Linked DNA regions of Coturnix japonica. The protein of the gene in region 1 purifies or fractionates together with the protein of each later gene. This does not show direct contact. Links are inferred from orthologs where the notes say so. Each region holds a gene or a part of one and is shown in the gene's direction. Other genes may lie near its edges. The genes, in order: TWF2 and CAPZB.

Region 1 (4,499 bases):
TCCAGGAGCTGCAGAACTCATTTGGCAGCCACAGCTGAGCTTGATGCACAGCATCCCTTGGCCATGTGGCAAACCCAAGCAGCTGGGCAGTCAGTGCCTGACCACTTCCTAATGAGAGAGCTCAGAGTAAGGGAGCCCTTTGCCTCCCAGGCAGAGAGAAAGCCCAGCCTCAGCCACCTTTGGCTGCGTGACAGAGAACTCACACATTCCTGGAAGGCGTTTTCCAGGGCTCCCACCACCACATCTTCTGCGTGGACGTGCTTCTCCTCCACGAACTGGGGGTCACTGTCACAAACACAGCGCCCGCTCAAGTGCATGGGGGGATGGGCCTCTGTGATGGCCCCCACGACCTCCTCCAGCTTCTGCTTGATGCAGTAGTGCAGGTAGTTGGAAGCAATGATGGCAGCTTCTGGGCCACCGTGGCCATCGAAGAGTGCCCAGTAGTAACCAGTCAAAAACTGCAAGGGAGAAGAGAGATTAAGCAGCCAAAAGAGGCAGAGAGGAGCCATGCAGATGGCAGCTCACACTCAGGACGTGCTGAACGTGTTCTGCCCGGCTCTTCCAGCCCAGCTGATGGAGGAACCCCTTGGAGGCACCTGGGGGAACTCAGAGAGGGGCCGTACCTGCGTGGAGCACAGGATCAGCCACTCCTGGTCTTCCTCCAGTCCTGGCTCCCTCCTGCGCACAGAGATCTGGCAGCACGCCGCCTGGTCCTCATTGAACTCTGACTTCTCAGCATTGATAACCCTGCAGGTGCAAACACTCCAGCTGAGTGGTGAAGCACTGCCTGGCCAACATGGGACTGAGCCCTTGGCCTTCCTTCCAGCTCCGTGCTCACTTGCTCCCTTCTCAAAGTCAAGGATCTCTTGGTTGGGAATCTAAACATCGCGTCCTTCACGGCAGTGGGAAAAAGCTTCACCTGGGATACAGTGAGTTATGGGGAAAGAGCTGTGATGGGGCACCCCTGCCTCCATCAGCTCCTGCTGGCAGCTGTGCCAGGCTGGTGACAGGGCTCCTTGTGGCCTTAATGCTGGGCCCTTCTATCCCTGCTTAGCTCACCTCCTGCACATTGCAATCCCACAGCCCCCAGGTCACAGAGTGGTCCCACTACAACATCCCTATTCCCATAACCGAGACAAACAGAGATTTACAGGGTTGTGTTTTTCCCTTTGCTATCACTGTGCTCCCTGCAGCTCATCTCCTGGGGACACGCGGGCTCCCTATACCGAAGAACAGAGGGTTTGCTGCCCACCGCTGCCTCCACGGCGCAAGGAACGCACCGGGGCAGGGGCTCACCGCGTCCAGCCCTGCCCAACGCCCCGGGGGTTCCTCTCCCCGCCCGCAGCTCCGTAACCCCACGCACCCCCAGCCCCGCACTCACTCGGCATAACCCGAACTCCACGGCAGCGGCCGCTCCGGCCCGGTGCCCCGCACGGCCCTGCCGCCCCTCGGACTCTCCTCTCCGCCCCGAAGGAACTTGGGCCGGCGGTACAGCGGCGGGTTGGGCTGCGGGGAGCGCGGTACCGACTCCTGGGCACCTCCGGGCCGTTGTTCCGCGGGGCCGCCCCGCCGCAGCCGCCGCAACCACTCGACGGACATGGAACCCCGCGGGCTCCCCCCGCACGAACCGGGCGCGGCTCCGGGTCCGGCTCCTCCCGGGGGCGGTGCGGGCGGCGGCTCCGCCCGGTGCCGGCTCCGGAAGCGTCGGTGCGGGCGGCGGTGCCGTTTCCTGCCCGGGACGTTGCGGAGCGGAGCGGAGCCATGACGCACCAGACCGGCATCCACGGTACGTTGGGCCGGGACGAACCGTCGGGTCCCGCCGCTCGTTCCGGGCTGTGCGGGGCGAGCACCGCGGGTTGTGCTGCCGGAGCGGGTCGGGGGGAGCGCGGCCGATCGGAGCGCGGTGCTGCGGGGGTTCGCGCATCCTTTGTCTCCTCGCGATGCCCGAACGCGGCTCGGTGCTGTTAAGGTGCCTTACATCGCTCCGTTACGCGATGGGGTCTGCGCAGCCTGCGGGGCCTTCCCCTGCGATCCAGCACCGGGCAGAGCGGTGCAGCCCCGCTGGGAGCCCAAAATCCAGCTGGGAGAAGGGTGGGAGCGGTGCGAGCCCACCGCTGTGCGTGCTGCCGGCCGCCGCAGGGCTGCGTTGTAAGCAGAACCAACGCCGGTCGTGCTGCCTATGGAATTGCCGTGTTGGAAGAAGGCCGGCTTAGGGGGAAGGATGTGTATGGGGACCCCCAGAGGCAGCCCCAAGGTTTGGGGGGGGGCACGGTGTGCATCTCCGTGGCGTTTCCCCCCTCTCTCACCTGACACCTCCGTGAGCAGCGTTAATCAGGACCGGAGGCACTGCATAATTGATGGAACCCAATTGATATGCGAGCAGAGGTGGGAAAGATGCCGGCCCTGGGCTATGCTGGGCGAGCTGTGCCAGCTCGCTGTGCCTCCCTCGTGGCTAATGCCTCTCTGGGAGCATGGAGAATTTAGGGTGAATTTATGGCCACTGTTCCTTCACAGCACATTGTTCCCTTGGCTACAGGATGGCCAGGAGCATCCTTCCCTTTGGGTGCTCACGGAGCAGCAGTTGGGATGTGGTTTAATGCTCAGATGCTGCTCCTGCTTGGCCTGGCAGTGCTGGTGGCCTTCAGCCCTTGGGTTCTCATTCATTGCTTCCAAGCCTTCGGCTGCCACATTGAAGCTCAGGACCTCTTTGTGCTTTCCTCCAATTGCAACAACAACAAAACCAGAACCAAATCAGCGGGCACAGCACTCTGAGCTCTTAGTGCAGGCAGGGTGCAATGCTGTGGCTGAGTTTGCTGTGTCCTGGTGCTTGAAACAGAGGTGGAAGAGAGGCATTGGCACCACCACTCTTACTCTTGACCCATGCCAGCCCCAGCAAGGCAATCTCATCCCCTTCCCAAACTGCTTGGAAGCTGCTGGCTGGGCGTATCAAGGGGTCCTTCATTCTCCCCAGCCCTGGCACATTGGTCACCATGATTCCTTCCCCTGTCAACGAGCTGATTCACTCTAAGATGAGCACAGCAACGCTGCTGCTGCTTCCTCCCCCCTCTGGGAGTGCCTGAGCTGTTTGCTAACCATCTTCATGTGTTGTGGGTAACCCACCCAGCCTCAGCTGGCAGCCTGACTCACGGTGGTAGCTCAGAAGGGAGAATTTGATCTAAGCAGTGATGGGAAGGCTGGCTGTGGGTGCCTTGGAAAGTCGGCTGACCTCCTTTCCCCGAGCAGCAGGAAGCAGGCGAGTGCCGGGCATGGGGGGAGGAGCATCACACTGTGTGAGCTGACTTTGGGGAAGAAGATGAAGGGTCCCAGGGAGAGGGAGGTGATGGTGGTGGTTGGTGGCAGGAATGTGGGGTTGAAAACGTGTCTCAAAGGGTTTTTTCCATCTAGGATGTGACTTGCATGGGTAAGAATGAAGTGAGAGGTGAAGAAGGAGCAGGAAGTGGGGGGGGGGATAGCGGTGTTGTGGCTGCTGAGCTGCCCCCTGCACATCCCCATTGGGAGCTGCTGGCTCTGCTCTGAGGTTGACTCTAATGAGAAGGAAGCTCCAGTAGGAAGATGGCCCTATTGGATGGACTGGGGGGGTCAGCATCCATGCAGGTGTTCCAAAACCATGGGGATGTGGCACTGAGGGACATGAGCAGGTAGGGGGGAGGGTAGATGGGGGGACTTAGTGATCTTAGAGGTCTTTGCCAACCATAGAGATTCTGTGATTCCTTGGCTGTAGGTGCACTCTGCAGGCAATAGAGGAGTGCTGGTGATGGGGTTTCTGCTGAGAGATGGGAGGGGAAATGAAAACCTCCCTGCTGCTGTTGTCTGTGCAGGGAGCTGCTGCAGGGCTGGCCTGGAGGAGCTGATCCCCATCTGTGGGTAACGATTGCTGCTTCCAGCCTGGGCATCAGTGCTCTGGTTCCTGGCCTCACTTTACAGCAAAGAGCAGACGTGCCCTGGGCATATGCAAAACACAAAGCAAACAGCCCCATGACTCAGAATGCACAGAGGCAGGCTCTGACCCTTGCAGAAGTTGCACTCGAGCTGTAATTTTGAGGATGTGCAAATAAGAAAAGCCTCTTAAAGTAGTGGAGAAGAGGAAGTCCCTTGGAAAGAGAGTGTTGAAAGCTTCTAAATGCAATGAGACCACTGCTGGTCTGATACCCAGAGTGAGACTGATTGGAGGTGTCAGGATAGGGGGGAGATGGTTTCCAAGCAGGCACATGGAAGCAAATGGCTCATGGGATGAGTGGCTGGAGGTACCCAGACAAGGATGTGCAGATGTGTGTTGTGGGCTGAGATTCAGTGACATGAAATCCTCCTTCAGAATAGAGCCCAACATCAAAAGGTTGAAAGAACTGGGTTTGTTTAGCTTTGAGAAGAGAAGGCTCCAGGAAGACCTCATTGTGGCCTTCCAATACTTGAAGGGAGTGTATAAACAGGAGGGGGAATGGCTGTTTACAAGGTTGGATAGTGATAGAACAAGGGGGAAT
Region 2 (3,805 bases), on another chromosome or scaffold:
AATTAGGTAATAAAAACGAGGTAACGGGAGGTTAAATTGCTCCAGCAAGATTTTGCTTTTGGAGAACTGGGAAAATAGGCAAACTTGTGCTTGTTTTTAATAGGCAGGCTGTGCCCTGTAACTGCAGTTACATGCATCTGTCCTTTTACTCGTGGAGCCTCTGTGCTCAGCCACCTTGTGTAGTATCTGGAGGGTTTGTAACCTTTTGTGTTTTTCCTTTTTCCTCCCTTTTGCAGGAGAAATCCAGCGGCCGTACTGCTCATTACAAGCTGACCTCCACAGTGATGCTGTGGCTGCAGACTAATAAAACTGGTTCTGGTACCATGAACCTTGGCGGGAGCCTTACCAGACAGGTACGCCTGCATACTGCGCCGGTGCACATTGCAGACCCTGCATGCCTTTCCTTATTTATATACCCGGTAGCCTCAGTCAGGAACAGAAAGCTTATTTTGTGAGGTGTTGGATCAACGTCTGTTCTCGTGCTGCATGTGCACTCCATTGAAGAATATAAGGCACAAGTGTGTGGTTACCAGGAAGCCCCTTGAATTTGGCTTGATGGCAGTGTAACTTTCAATTAGAAATACAAAACATTCAGCAGGAGGTTAGATGTTCATTTAAGTCTTTAATTTGTGGCCACTGCAACCAGCCCTGTATTGTGCTTAGACCTTCAGTTCTTCTGTTCTTAAAGGCTTTCAGTATTTGCCTGTATCCTTCTTTAGTGTTTTAGTCCTGCAGTACCAGGACAGTGATAAAAAATGACATGTCTTCTAAGCATTTGCTTTTTATTCCAGCTCAAATTGCTTTGGCTTCCCCTTGAGAAAGCCATTTCTCAGAGGGAAGGTGCCAGAATGGTGACTGTTAGGCTGCACTGCTGTCAAAGGCTCTGGCAGAGCTGAGTGCATTGCCTGAAGGTGCCTCTGCCCCAGCCACCTGCCAGAGGTTGCTGTCTCTGTACTGCATGAATTGGGGTTGTTTAAGATCTGGGTTGTGGAAGTCAGTGACACGAAAAGAGTAATAAACTCAGGGGACAGGAGGCATATTGTGTGGTCATGAGTGACTAGAGAGATTGGCAGTTGCTAAAACTCCTTTATGAGACTTCCCAGGGCAGCCTGTTGCTTTCGATACAAAGGACAATGCAGACTCTGTTAAGTAGCCTGTGGTTTTGTACAGGTTTGAGTCAGGCAAGGGAACAAAGGGTCTACGATCATCGGGAGGAACTGAATTGTGTTACTCTTGCAGACATGGAAGCTTGCCCTAGACCTGGGTGATTTTTCTTTCCACCTTGTTGACTTACAGAAGAAACTGATAGGAGAAATAACAGGAAGGGGAAAAAGAAGCATCTGGAGATGGTTTTTGAGCATTGCGTACTCTTTTAGAATGTTTGCAGTAATTACACTCGAGTTATGGTGACCCGGACAAATATTTAATCACAGGCCTTCCTAATACTTTAAATCATAGCTGTGAAGTGGACGCCAAGGGCTTGACTCTGGCCATGGACTTATGGTGTGTGAGAGATATGCCAAGGAAAACAAGAGTCTGTTGAGGATGGGTGTCCTCAGTACACCTTGGCCTGAACTCCTAGGCCTTGTTTAGTTTGACTTTCACTCTCTCAGCTTTAGCGAGGAGATTCATGCTTCTGTCATCATTTGAACAGCAGATCATTTAATTCATATGTGATGCATTAAAGCAGGGGCCTGCTTCCAATGTAAGTAACCATAAAGGAGCCACTGGGGTAATGATGCACTGCTCCTGCACAAACAATGGAAACTTGAGTTTTAGCATTTAGCTTTGGGCTGGAGAGCTCTGCTTTGCAGATGCCACCATACGCTTAATGGGACAGCAGTTCTATTTTTGCTTCTTGCTGGGCTTTTCATACAGTCTACAGTGAGCTCATACACTGACAGTAGGTTGTAGTTATCATGTGAATGACACGTCACTGTCTGACAGCATCAGTAAGCTGTTCTGACCGTCATTACAAAGTGCCTTTATCTAGAGTAGATTGTTCATGTTTTTGGTCAACTCAACATTGAAGCTACTTGACCACCTTTGATCCTAAAATGCAAACAGCAGATGTCCTTGTGTTTCAGTGCAGGCTTTTGAAGTGTTCACAAGTTTCGTAATATCCTGGCTTAAATGCTGATGGCAGGGAGAACCTTTCAGTGCTTGGAAAGGGAAGTCTGTTGAGAGCCATTACTTTGAAACCAGTTTCACCTCCGAGCTGCAAATCGGGTATTTTTCGAGTGATGACTGGAATGATTAAGTTGGTGGCCAGCAGCAGGCGCAAAGGAACAGCTCATGTAATGCCTCCTAATTCACCACCTCTGGCAGCTTCCAAGAGCTGGGCATGGCTCGCATTGAAATGCTATGGGGAGCATTTGTAGCTTCAAATGGAAACACTTGCTCAGTAATTCCCCGTCCTGATGTTTGCAGATGACACAGGGTGCAAGCAGTCAGGCAGTCCTGTTTGTTCTATGAGCGGACAGCACGGTACTGTGGAAGGATATGAAAGTAAGAGCCTAAAATCCTCCTGTTTAGGCTCTTCTTGAATGTTGCAGAGATTTCTTAAGACTAAAACCTTTTTTTCCTCTGCCTTGTCCCCAGATGCTGTGTATCTCAGTATTATACCTGACCTGGGGCCATGTCAAGTTCTGTTCTGGGTAGTTATTACTCAGAAGTCATTTCCCTGTCCTGTGTCTCCTTTAGTTTTGTCTCTTTGTTTGGAATGGGAGACTAGAGCATTTTATGTTTGTAAGTAGACAGAATAAGGAGGGAGAGATGTGAGACACTGAGGAGCTTGTCCTGGTTTGGGAGGCTGAAGCTCTTTGTGTAGCTTCACTTAGCCTGATGGTTTTCTAAATGAGAACTTCAGGCTTTCGCTTTGTACATTCAATATCCATTGCTACTGTCTTGCCCCAGAAGGCAAGAAAAGTCAGATAGAGGCCTGTTCCTGCAACTAGAGTGCTCTCCAGGCAGCTTGTGTTCTGGGGACAAGCCTGGATGCTGTTCAAGAGAGCGCAGAGCTGCTGCACCACAGCCAGGATGGAGGAAGCAGCTCCCAGCTCACATCTGACACTGGCAGGCTTCAATAAATACAGGGAGCGAGGCTGGAATTTGGAAAGGAACTCGGCATGTTCTGTGCTGTCTGCGTCAATGAGGGGCCACAGATTGAAGTGCTGTACGTCTGAGAGGAGAGGAAAGGACAGGACACACCGCCTTCGGTTTGCAACAAGGAGTGGTGCTTACAGGGGAATGAAAAATGCCAGCAGCTTTTTGGTTACCATGCACACACTCCAATGGCAGCAGGTAGCTCCCACCCCATCCTGATTCGAGCCAGATGCTTGGCACATGATTCTCTGTCTGACAGACATTAAGGTCCCATCCTCAGTGTGTGTTGCAATTACTTGTGCTGTCCACCACGGTACCGTGCTGCTTTGACCATGCTTTGTGCTTGCATCAGGCTGCGCTTTAATTTCACTCAGAGCAATTCTATGGTCCTGTTTCATTTTATGCAAAGTAGAAAGAAACCTTCCAGCTTTCTGGCAAACAATCAAATGTGCACTTTGTTGAACAGCTTTCTGGAGCCCCCCTCCTTAAGAGCAAGGCCAACAGGTGCCTTGCTGAGCTCCTGCTGTGCACAAAGAACCCGTCTGTGTTTACTAAGCCTGGGTGAGCATTGTGAGGAAGTGCCAGTCCACTGAGGAAGACGTTGGCTCCAAACCTGGAGTTTATTTACATCTGGAGGTATGGGAAGGGGAGGATATAAAGTTGTAGAGGAAGCGAAGCCTGGGATTTCAGATTAAAGCAG

The links.
Region 2: the proteins of TWF2 (region 1) and CAPZB purify together in Homo sapiens (co-immunoprecipitation; 3 studies listed by BioGRID and IntAct, with this or other methods). This does not show direct contact. The link is inferred for Coturnix japonica from reciprocal best matches to the Homo sapiens genes TWF2 and CAPZB.

Annotation. Positions count from the first base shown.
Region 1 is NC_029527.1:1,796,786-1,801,284, reverse strand, and holds the start of TWF2 (twinfilin-2), read left to right. Parts: upstream 1-1,655; 5' UTR 1,656-1,761; coding exon 1,762-1,786; intron 1,787-4,499. Other genes in the region: PPM1M (protein phosphatase 1M), read right to left, coding at 204-458, 624-747, 1,382-1,599. UniProt on the Homo sapiens protein: Actin-binding protein involved in motile and morphological processes. Inhibits actin polymerization, likely by sequestering G-actin. By capping the barbed ends of filaments, it also regulates motility.
Region 2 is NC_029536.1:4,083,744-4,087,548, reverse strand, and holds part of CAPZB (F-actin-capping protein subunit beta), read left to right. Parts: intron 1-236; coding exon 237-353; intron 354-3,805. UniProt on the Homo sapiens protein: F-actin-capping proteins bind in a Ca(2+)-independent manner to the fast growing ends of actin filaments (barbed end) thereby blocking the exchange of subunits at these ends.